3 linked regions of the Bombyx mori genome follow. The protein of the gene in region 1 interacts with the protein of each later gene in a pairwise test. Links are inferred from orthologs where the notes say so. Each region holds a gene or a part of one and is shown on either strand. Other genes may lie near its edges. The genes, in order: pumilio homolog 2, regulator of gene activity and brain tumor protein.

Evidence for each region.
Region 2: the proteins of pumilio homolog 2 (region 1) and regulator of gene activity interact in binary tests that used the Drosophila melanogaster proteins (3 or more experiments, as listed by UniProt). The link is inferred for Bombyx mori from reciprocal best matches to the Drosophila melanogaster genes pum and Rga.
Region 3: the proteins of pumilio homolog 2 (region 1) and brain tumor protein interact in a two-hybrid assay, tested with the Drosophila melanogaster proteins (2 studies listed by BioGRID, with this or other methods). The link is inferred for Bombyx mori from reciprocal best matches to the Drosophila melanogaster genes pum and brat.

What each region holds. Positions count from the first base shown.
Region 1 is NC_085121.1:13,327,065-13,330,722, reverse strand, and holds part of pumilio homolog 2, read right to left. Parts: coding exon 3,298-3,658; intron 2,796-3,297; exon of another isoform or gene 1,553-2,795; coding exon 1,378-1,552; exon of another isoform or gene 1,235-1,377; coding exon 1,137-1,234; exon of another isoform or gene 844-1,136; coding exon 684-843; exon of another isoform or gene 659-683; intron 1-658. UniProt on the Drosophila melanogaster protein: Sequence-specific RNA-binding protein that acts as a post-transcriptional repressor by binding the 3'-UTR of mRNA targets.
Region 2 is NC_085113.1:7,420,429-7,424,186, reverse strand, and holds the start of regulator of gene activity, read left to right. Parts: upstream 1-1,212; 5' UTR 1,213-1,571; coding exon 1,572-1,622; intron 1,623-3,504; coding exon 3,505-3,758. UniProt on the Drosophila melanogaster protein: Component of the CCR4-NOT complex which is one of the major cellular mRNA deadenylases and is linked to various cellular processes including bulk mRNA degradation, miRNA-mediated repression, translational repression during translational initiation and general transcription regulation.
Region 3 is NC_085120.1:10,288,314-10,292,071, forward strand, and holds the start of brain tumor protein, read left to right. Parts: upstream 1-1,387; 5' UTR 1,388-1,593; coding exon 1,594-1,616; intron 1,617-3,758. UniProt on the Drosophila melanogaster protein: A NHL-domain family protein that functions as a translational repressor to inhibit cell proliferation.

The sequences.
Region 1 (3,658 bases):
AGTTCCACAAATGCGCTCTCTTTCATGTATTAGTTATTTCATGAGTTGGATGGGCAAGTTCGCGCCCCGGTGTAACTCGTTACCACCTTGAGACATGAGAGCGAACCCTCTAGTGTATAGTGTAAAGTGTCCCACCCTTCGAATACGTGACTACTTTACTAATAGACAAGATCGCCCGCGCTGCCCGTGCAAGATTCGATGCAATAACATTAGTAGTTTGTAGAGTAGAACTTCAATTTTCGATTTGAGCAACAACTCGTAGTATTCAACTGATTTTCGCCATTATCAGACGATGAGGACGCAAGACCAAGAAACAAATACATTTTTTTTATTGCCCTTGTAGGCAGACGAGGACACGGCCCACCTGATGGTGAGTGGTTACCGTCGTCCATGGACTTCAGCAATGCCAGGGGCAGAGCCAAGCTGCTGCCTACGGCATAATACTCTCCCCACAAGCCTCGTTTGAAGAAGGACATGTCATAGCGCTCGGGAAACACCGTGGAGGGGAGCTCATTCTAAAGCCGGATGGTACGTGGTAACAAAGACCTCTGTGGATGACCGCAGTGACTCCAGTTAGTATGGATGAACTCTAATACGGTGGCGGGCGGTGCAATGGTAAAAACGAGATGACGGTATCATCTCGAACACAATTCCTCAGAGAACTCCTGTGGTTAGTGCGGTACCTGGAGCCGTGCTGGTCCTGCGAGAACTCTACGATGTGGTTGGCGAGGTCGCGCAGCTGCAGGTTCGGGAAGCGGTTGTTGCGGAAGTCCTCGAGCAGACGCGAGCGCCCCGCGGCCGGCTTGTCGCCCACCAGCGCGCCCACGCCTCCGCTCACCAGCTCTGTGTGCAAACGCTCACATGTTACTACTGCTTTCACACTATACCTTTGTATGAGCAACGACTAACTTTCTTCGAAACTTATTCGCTCAGTACATCATAATTTGCTTATTATATTCATGATTATGCAAATCATTAATTAGTTAAAAGATTAAATATTTACATGAAGAAGCTGCGGTAGACTGGCCTCCATAATTAAAATATACATTTTATGCAACAATCATATTTACAAGTCGTGTATATGTATATGTACATGACAACGGTGACATAGGGGCACCACCGCTAACGATACCGACCTGAGATAGTTCCAACTCCACCGAGTTTGCTGAGTAGCGATGAAGACGAACCAAACATTCCATTAGAGGTGAGTCCCTGGGCTAAACTGCTCACAGCTCTGAAAGGAAAACGATAAAATACCTTCAGGAACGCAAACCAGACGAGTAAATTTTAGAATGAACAAATAGACAAGCTCGAACGGCAACAGGATTAATAATGTACAGAAGCGCAGATATGTACAGTGTGCGCGCGCGAACAGACCTGTACTTGGCGGTCTCGGCGCCGGGCGCGGCGGACACGGGCCGCAGCCCCACGGGCCCCAGCGCGGCGCCCAGCGGCGGGGACAGCGGCGAGGGGCCCCACTTGCGTGCGTACTCGTGCAGGGCGCCGCCGCCGCCGAACTCCAGCGAGTCCCGCCGCGCGCCGCTCGCGCCGCCTGTAACACGACATACCTCCGCGCTCCAACACTCTGCTCCTCCACTCTCCTCTACGTTCTGTACACGACTCGCGAACTCGGAGGCCTCGCGGGCGAGTGGCGACATCGATATGTACAAAACTTTACACTCTTCCACGTTTACTCATACCGGTATTACCTACTAGGTGCGTACTGATCATCAAATGTGTTTTTAAATAGTGTCTGCCACAGTAAACATGTATATTTGTGGAAGTAATAAATTGTTCGGATTTACTATACAGATTTGAATGTGTTATCATCATCTAAGTTCACATATTATTCGTCTTATTGGGTTAACAGCTTTGTGGAATAGTCGCTATCGGTAGCTGATGTTTTAGAATACTATAAACCTACAAGGAACCAAAAAGCACAAATTCTAATTTTTTTCTTAGAATGAGAAAAATGTGTCTAGTATGGCATGGAATTAAATTTATATTTATTGCTAACCTCCAACAAACAGACTAATAAAACAAAAGCGATGGAGACCAAATTAAATAGATTCCATTCTTCTCTAAGCTTCACATAATATTACTTTATTAAAATAAAGTTCAGTGTTTTTTGAGGGCCTAAATATTTTCAAAAATATTATATTTTATATAAAAACGCTATTACTTTGTGGATTGTATATTTGTATTCACATTATTCTATATTTTTCTTTAATGAGTAATACTGTATTCTTTCAAATATACAGACATGTTTGCCAGTGCCAAAACCAGACGGACATACATGTTTACTAGAGTCAAACAGAAATTTTGAATAAAGTCAATAAAAAAACCGGTTAAGTAATTTTAAAAATAGGATTTAGATTGTAAAATATTATAAAAGAAAAAAAAAGGCTTTATCTAGAGACCTTTTGTTACTACCACTAATGTACGCACCTTATGTTTACTAGCTGTACCTAATATTTTATTGATGGAGTGATTTTTTTTCTACTTAATAAAAGTAAAGTAAATCTTCAAAATTTTTATGTACATTACTGTTACTCGTATATACATAGTACATAAACTAATACATTTAAAAAATATTATGAGCATATGTAAATTTTTATGTTTTGCCGTCTACATTTACATTTGCCGCCGTCACTTGCAGTGAGAATATTATATAATAAAATGTATATGAGACACTTGTTATTTTAAAAGAAGCATAAGATGAAAAGGTCACTACTATCAACGAGATGTAGGTATTTGATTTTAATGTAAACTAAATTAAATACTTGTGCATATTAGTCGAATTCATTTTTATTTTGCAAGCAAACTATCATCACCTCTCTTCAATACTTGCAACTTTGTTAGAAGTTAAAGAAATCTATTTGGTAAGAGTAAAATTTAATATTTTCCTGTGTTTTCATTATTATTCCTTTTTCGAACTACTAAAAAACTTATACGAGGATTAAGCAAAATTTCATTCAAAATATGCTATGCATTTTAGACACACCATGCATCTGGAATTCAGTTTGGTAACTTTATGTACAAGATGAAAAAAAAGAAGTATCCCCTTGTGCACACTCACTTTTAATAGTCAGAAAAGATAGCGTTTATAGAAAATTTATGAAAAATTAGTTCTAATCGAACGTTTCAACGATCATAAATTATATTATAATATTTTTCTATAAAAAAACGAGACGCTCGCCATTGTTTGTGTGTAAAATGTACACAACAATCGAAGGCAGTGTAAATGTGAGTGAGCTAGTGGCGAGTGCGCATAAGTTTGCACGTGGTGTTTGTTACCTGGCGGCTGCGGCTGGTGCGTCTGTGCGGGGGCGGGGGGCGCGGCGCCGGCGGCGGGGTGTGCGGGCGCCGGCTGGTACTGGCGCGGGGCGAGCACGCCGCCCGGCGACACGAGTCGCAGAGGGGTACCGTTGCGGCCGCCCATGACCAGCGAGCCGGGGTCGTAGTAAGGAATCACGTACTGGCCTTGCCCGTTAACCTGCTGTTCGCCTTGCTGCGGAGTGAGCGGCCGTCGCGGTTGCTGAGCTTGCTGTTGCGCGGGTTGCGCTACGAGGCCGGGATATACTCCCCATGGCGCTGCGACTCCGTAATAAGGCGGAACTCCCGCGATTAACGCGCTCACGTACGGCGCACCTTCCTG
Region 2 (3,758 bases), on another chromosome or scaffold:
CTGCTTATTTTTAACACCACTAACACGAAAAACGGCCGATATAGAGCCAGAAAATTAATGACTGGCTCGGGGAAAGAAGTCTACGCCTATCAGACGTGCTTCTTTATTGAACAATCATATGATCTTAGTGTTGCCAAAAAGTATTGATCAGACATAGACAATTTTTTCTGAAATATTCAGAATATGAATCAATATATACATCTCGATCCTTCTTTGCTCGATGTCGGTAAGTGAAAAGGATATAAGAACTAGGTCGGCAGAGGCCGTATTCTGGTCGCTAGTCATAAAGCACGCAGAAAAACTTTTTGATTTTGTTCTATTTATGTAAATAAGATATAATAAACTTTTTTTAGCTATTATAAAATTTTTGGAATCAGATAGCGTTCCCATGTTTGCCGCCAGAGGCACTGTTTCCACTACATACAAATTTGAGATCTTTTACGCAATTGAGAAGTTAAAAAACTTGCACTAAGCACACCGAAGGACCGTCTTCTGACCGTTGTCGAAACTTTGTTAAATCTGCAATAACAGCAATGTGCACCCGATCCTTAAATATTTTCGTTAATGTTTTGAAATGAAATCCACAATTTAACTGCTGTTGTAAATTGTGAATTTGAACTAGGTAAAATGTATTTTTAACGATTTTCTACCCATCTGTACCAACGCCAGTGGTGGGCGAGCTCACAGACCTCTACCTGAAAGAAATTGTTAACACTGCTCTGGCTTCGCTGAATCTACTACCAGTTAAGAATCAAGATTCAATGAGAAACTCAGTGAGTGTCATAGGGGTTCAGTACTCTCAGTTAAGCTTCGATTTTACGACGCTAGTGGAGGGTACTTGAGACTGGGTTGAAGAAGGCCGAAGGCCTGGATCGAATAAGGCAACGACGATTGTTCGTTGTCATCATATAGGTCGGGAATGTAATTTACGGCGGCTACGATAAGAGGGCTATTACGCCGTGCAGCTTCCTCAAAGAAAGGTTCTGATGTTCTCTTCAAATATTAACGAATCGCTTCTAAATCCAAGTATTCGTGAAGATCTGAATCTTATACACCGTATACATTTTCCTTGTTTAAAATTTTCATTTTCTAATGTAAGATTTAGAAAAGGACGAAGAATCAAATATTTGCTATATATACCTAGTTAAATTTCATTAGATTGTAGTCTACGTAATGTGTGCGTAGATTGCTTTCAGACGCCATCCAATCTGCCGGAAATGTTGTATTCACAGTGATACAGAAAACACCTCAGGGAAGATAATAGATGTCTGACTCGAACTCGTTTTCAGTTATGTTTAAAATATTTTTTGGTTGGGTTTTATTATAATGAGACCGTCCGATCCATTCATCTGTTCACCTATCGGAATCATTAGGAAAGATGAATGATCCACCAAGCTTCCGGCACTTTGCAGGAATAGTTTAGTTTTAGACAAGGGAGGTGGGTAGTTTATAATTTTCAAATAATGGTTGTGAAGTTTAGATTATTTAAAAAATAAGGCTTTAAGTTAAAAAATAATTGTTTTAATCCTAATTTAGAGATTTTTTAAAGTAATTCTGAACAAAGATAAGAAATGAAGAAACGAAGTTCTACGAGGCACAGTAGCCAAACTCATGAAGATCAGGTTTGCTACTTATAGTTATGCTGTAGAGTCTTATAAAACTCTCAAATACACGTTTAAGCACAGTATTATGTACAGTATTACAGGTTTATGTACAGTAACGATGCTACGGATTGCACTAGTATGGGTAGTATAGTAATGTAAATTAAATAATTTTATTGTAAATTCTTAAAAATATTAGTATAAATTTTAAATGACAGATCTATAATAAAGAGACAAAACGATTTATACTATTTAAACTATTTAATAAAATTGTCAAAACTATTTTTATTTTTTAACAAACTAATTCATACGGCCTGGTTTTGAAGCTTTTTGATAATTTCCGTCTGCTTCTTCAACCTTTTAACAATATGGCCGCCTGTTGTTTAGGGTAATGTGGCGTTCAGCGAAATCGTATGAAAATTTTAAAACATTTATCAGTGACGTAAAGATGTATCAAGTTTACAGTGTTTTATAGCAGCGTTTTACGCGAAGACAGTTTTATGTACCATTTATATTGGTGTTTAAAATTTTGAATGCACAAAAAACATCAAAATTGGACAGTCAACAAATCTTGTTTATTACATCGAAGCGGAAATATTTATCTTGGCAGAGTATACGCGATTATGAACCATTCTTATTCTTTATAAAATAGTTGAACAAGGACTGATAATAGGTAAATATTGACAACGTTCTCAAAGTGAGCCCAACAACATCACAACAAAAATTGTCGCCATTGTTTGACAGGGGCAACTAAGCCATTTACTGATCTTTAATACATTCTCCATATCCTCTCTACTGTATAATATGCTCAACTGAAAACAGTTTTGTGATGCTCTTCAACTATCATCTCTCTCATACGTCATGCATACACTTAACCAAAGTTTAAATTAATAATAAGCAGCATGCAATTCCATATATAGTTAAGTATTCCTTCTACTTTCTCTTTCACATTTCCAACTACTTTACAACCGATTACTCCATGATTTAAATATTAGTTTTATTTATATTATATATTTATAGCCCATATTCCATAGAGTTGAGTCACACAAAATTGATCTCTTTTGTCTCAAACTTGATAACAAATTTTCTGATTTACAACAAACATTGTATTCAGAGGTTCTGCACATATTGGCACAGAATTTAACTGCTTTTCCGTTTAATATAACCATTGTGTCAACATACTGTAATTACTTGTGCAAAATACTTAAATTGTGAAAATTATTCTTATAAATGAACTCTAAAATCACAATACGAACCAGATACTGATAATGTAAGAGCAATAAAAATTATATCTGCTTATAAAATTGGAACACGATTTAAATATTTGAAATTGTAAATGAAATAGGCATGAATCTGAATAAATTTTATTCTACATCAACTTCGTCTCACACTTCCTTGACAATACCTCTGTAAAATTATTAAATATGTCCACTACATGATTATAGTCCATTGTGTGTAGTCATTTATCTATTATATATTATTAAGAGGAACTTTTACCAAGTAGATGGGTATTTTTGCTTAAGAAACGTTTTATGTTTTAGATCAAAACTAAATTAAATCTAAGCATTCACTAGGCACAAGTCAGGTTTCCGGTAAATGTAGCATAAAGATGTTATCCTTTTCCCCTACCTATGCTGATAGCCTTGAGAGGCTAGCAGAGGGAGATATTTCAGCTTCCACTGAGAAGATCCAACTAGAAACTCAGTGGGCTGTGTTTATTGGTTAATTTACTCGTTGAGCCCTTCGCCACAAGCAGTGGGTTGTGCAGGTTCAGAGAGGACGGTGGCCGGTGCTTAAGGTACCTAAAAGCACCGTTTATAGATCGGGAGATCCGTAATGACGTGCTTAGGGCAATGTTACCTACAATAATTATATCATATTGTAAAAAGGCTTATTTTTTTAGGTTATGGCAAACTTGAATTTTCAACAAGTGCCTCGAAGCCTAGCTAGTGGCGGAGTTGGTGGCGTTGGAGGCAGAGTGAGCTCAGGTCTTGTTGGTAGTGTCTCAGGACATGTGACACCAACTTTTGGGGGCGCCTTGTCGCCTGGCCGTAATTCAACTGCAATGCCAGGCGGAGCTCCCCCATCAATGGCATCTAGAGCTACGTTGTTTGGTCAACGAGCTTTTGCAGACCGAAGGGTTACAATGCCAACAAC
Region 3 (3,758 bases), on another chromosome or scaffold:
TACACTTGTGATGATAATACGCATGATATAAAATTTTATTTGGTTTAAAAAAAAACCTTTAGTTTCATAAATTTTATTAACACTTTTAGTGTTTCAAATGCTTTGTCGTAAAAAAAAGTAGCAAGTTGTTGTAGCAAAGCTTTTAGTGAAAATCAAAAACTTATCGAAGATACACCAACAACATTTCTAATGTCAACATCCTACTTATGTGTTTTATTATGTTTTTTCCAAGTCATTTCTTTTCATCTTCTCACCAAACAACCTTTAAAATAAATATTAATTCTACTATTTGATCTTAAACGAATAGTACCTAAATCCGAACATTTGATTGATGAACGTGAGAAAATGTAAAAAGTATATAAACGGATAAAGCATTGCGTAAGCTATATCTAATGATATAGATTTATTTATTTTTATTCGCCTGTCCGTAATATTGAGTACAATGAACGCTGGCCGTTCGCCTTGAAAACCGGTCAGAACATTAAAATGTAAGTAAATTCGCCAAACACAAAACCGTATGTATATAAAAATAAATGCATGTAAAAATTGGTAGATAAATAAATTTTATTAATACATAATACAATGAAACAAACTATGAGTCAATGAAAATTCATTTAACTTACATCAGGTTGTTTATATGTTATTAATGATTGCTCATTACCATAAGTACCATGATCTAATAGTCTTCAGATATTGGAAATATCAGAAGCATAGCTAAAATTGTTGACTAAAAAGTTGCATCAAAATATCTTAAATAAAAATATATAAAAAAAAAACGAATAAATGAACGAAAAAAGCGATATAATATGTTTTTTTTTTTGTAGCATCTTCTAAATAAACACGAACAGTTGGTTAAGTAACCAATTTAATTTCATGAAGTGATTTAATTATTACGTAATTTTAAATGTTAAAATTGATAAAATACACGCGTATCCAAGTTCTTTCAAGACTAATTATAATGCCATTATTACATCAATGCATTAGTTTCACAATATAATATTGGTAAACACAAAATCCGTCTTAAACATGAATTCAAACAACATAAATGATCTAAGTAAAAATATACTAGTAACGTGCTAAGAATAAACAAAGTTAAAGTCGTCAAATTTAACAAAAACTCTGTAAAGTTTACACTTCGATTTACTTCGATTTGTACTGATGTATCTAAGGAAAACCAGAGTTAGTAAACTTAAATGACCCCATATCTGAATAATAAAGAGTACTGGAAAGTGCATTAAACCTGCGCGTTCAAGTTTGAGAAGCGACTAGCTCGAACCGATAATATTTAGGGTTCTTTTTGTTGTAATGATCTCGTCCGTAAAGTATGGGTGCCTGTACCGGCGGCTCAACTTTTTTTATTTTCGAAAACATGACCCTCGCATTCAGTTATGATTCGTCCGTCGACGCGAGCGGTCGTGTTCCCGCGCGCTTTTGAATTCTAGTCATTGTTCCCAAAATTACTTAGTTTGTTTTATTAACTATACGTACGAATTTAGAATAAGTGAGTTCCTTTTTTGAAATTACTGTTCTTGTGTGTGTTCCGTAATTTAGGTCTTTTATAAGTAAACGAAGAAAACATATTTAATTTTTTTAATGCACGGATTCGGTTTGCTTTGGTAAGTGAAACTTGTGGATTAAGATTATGTATTACTTAAAACTACTCTTATGTAACTATTCAGAGTAATTTAGTAACGTATTTGTGACACCGTTTCATAACGTTAATAAGACCGGGGCTTTATTCGAAAACAAAATGTAACCGTTTCAACAGATGCTCTAAACTAAGAACCGCGAACGGAATGAGTCGGTCATTACTAAAAAAACACACACACACTATTACAAAATTATTATTGATTATTAAAAACTAATTTCGCTCAGAACGAAAAGGTCACAAGTTTGACAGTTGACAAAGGCGGTCCGTACTTTTAAAAGTGGTTGGTCCGTCAATGTCGCGTGTCGGTTACCATGTTTTTTTTTGGCATTGTATCTTGTTCAAGGCTTCGTTACGTCACGTAACAATTTAGGCCTGTTCCTACGTCACAACGGCCGTAATCGAGAATCGGAACAGCCTTTGATAGTTTAAAAACGTGATCAATCCGTTCCGGCCGAAGTTTGTCTCGGCTTACCGTGAGAAGCGCCTCGGACTTTGAAAACTAATTGGTACATATCCTTTGTTTTTGCTCAGCTTTTTGTTATTAGACGTAAGGTTGTTTTCGGTAAAAAATAATATTGCTCAGATGAGTGAACGAGCTCACGGCCTACCGTGTTAGTTACGCCGTTAAGTGGTTAGCCCGTGAGCATCACAATTTTTTTCTACCTATGCTGATAGCCTTAAGAAGCTATATCAGCTTTACCCTAGCGTGTGAGCTCTCGGGGCTCAAATCAGAGGTATTGTTAACACTGGCCCTAGCAAGAGCAGTGCTTCGCAGAATCTACCACGGGATCGGAATCGCGACCCACTGATAAGATCCGGCGAGAAACTCAGTGGACTGTGTCTATGGGTTCATTTACTCGCCGAGCCCTTCGTCGCCAGCGACGGGTTCGGCGAGAACTGACCGGTGCTTGAGGTACCTAAAAGCACCGTTAATGGATCAGGAGGATCCGTAACGACGTGTTGTCGACTGTTTACCATTCGGTCTACAGGATCGGGTATGACCATCATAACGCGAATGCCAGCACCCTCCTTTATATTTGAGGTTCATGTCTCAATTGTTCTGCAATCATGTATTTTTGCATATTATTCCTTCACTATGGAAGTCTTTTGTGAACATAATAATAATATGTGCGTTTTTTCATTAGAATATTTGATACCCGCCTGTGGGATTAGAACATCAACAAAGTCGTATCGCTCGCTACAAGTACATGAGCTGTCTTATCGCTTAGACCACGGCTCCTTCGATATTTGAACGATAATTGCCACATTAAAAAAACAACAACAATGAGATCCCGATCGTGCATAAACTCAATGTTATTCAAATGGCGGGAATACTTAAATGAAACTCATATTGACATTAAAATTAAAATTTAAAAAAACATTTCAAACAAATTAATGCAAGAACCTTTAAATCGCGGTCTCTGTCCTAATGAGGCTTAGGACTCATTCCGCCTTTAAAGGTTACACGGAACAAAGAAGGTCGTGACTCTCGAATCAAACAGACAAACGTCACCCTTAACGTTTGCGCATAAGATAAAAAATCGTACAACATCGTGCGTTTTGATGTGACGCTCGGCAAATCGGTTCGGATCTAGAATTGATTTGAGAAACGGCTCTCCGGCTGTTCATAATTAACATGCACATTACAATATAGCTATAAAGCGCTAATTGATTGAAAAGGTTAATAAACGGATAAATGGAAACGCGCTGACACTGGCCGGGGGATTATAAATAGATTGGCGTATGGTCGGTAGTCATTAGGTTGCGATTTACTTTACGATTTCCGACGTTGGTAATTACTCGGATAAAAAAAAAAAAAACTTATTAAATGCGAAATTCAAATTTATAAGGCGTGGCATAATTTGGGGTGAAATCTATATATCTATACTTCTATACTTAATATTATAAAGAGGAAAGATTTGTTTGTTTGTATTGAATAGGCTCCGAAACTAGTGAACCGATTTGAAAAATTCTTTCACTGTTTGGAAGCTACACTTTTCCCGAGTGACATAGGCTATATATAATCTTTTTTGAAAAAATTAGGGATCCTTACCAAAACTCCAATAATGTAACCCAAGGTGTAAAAAAATGACCTATAATATTCTTT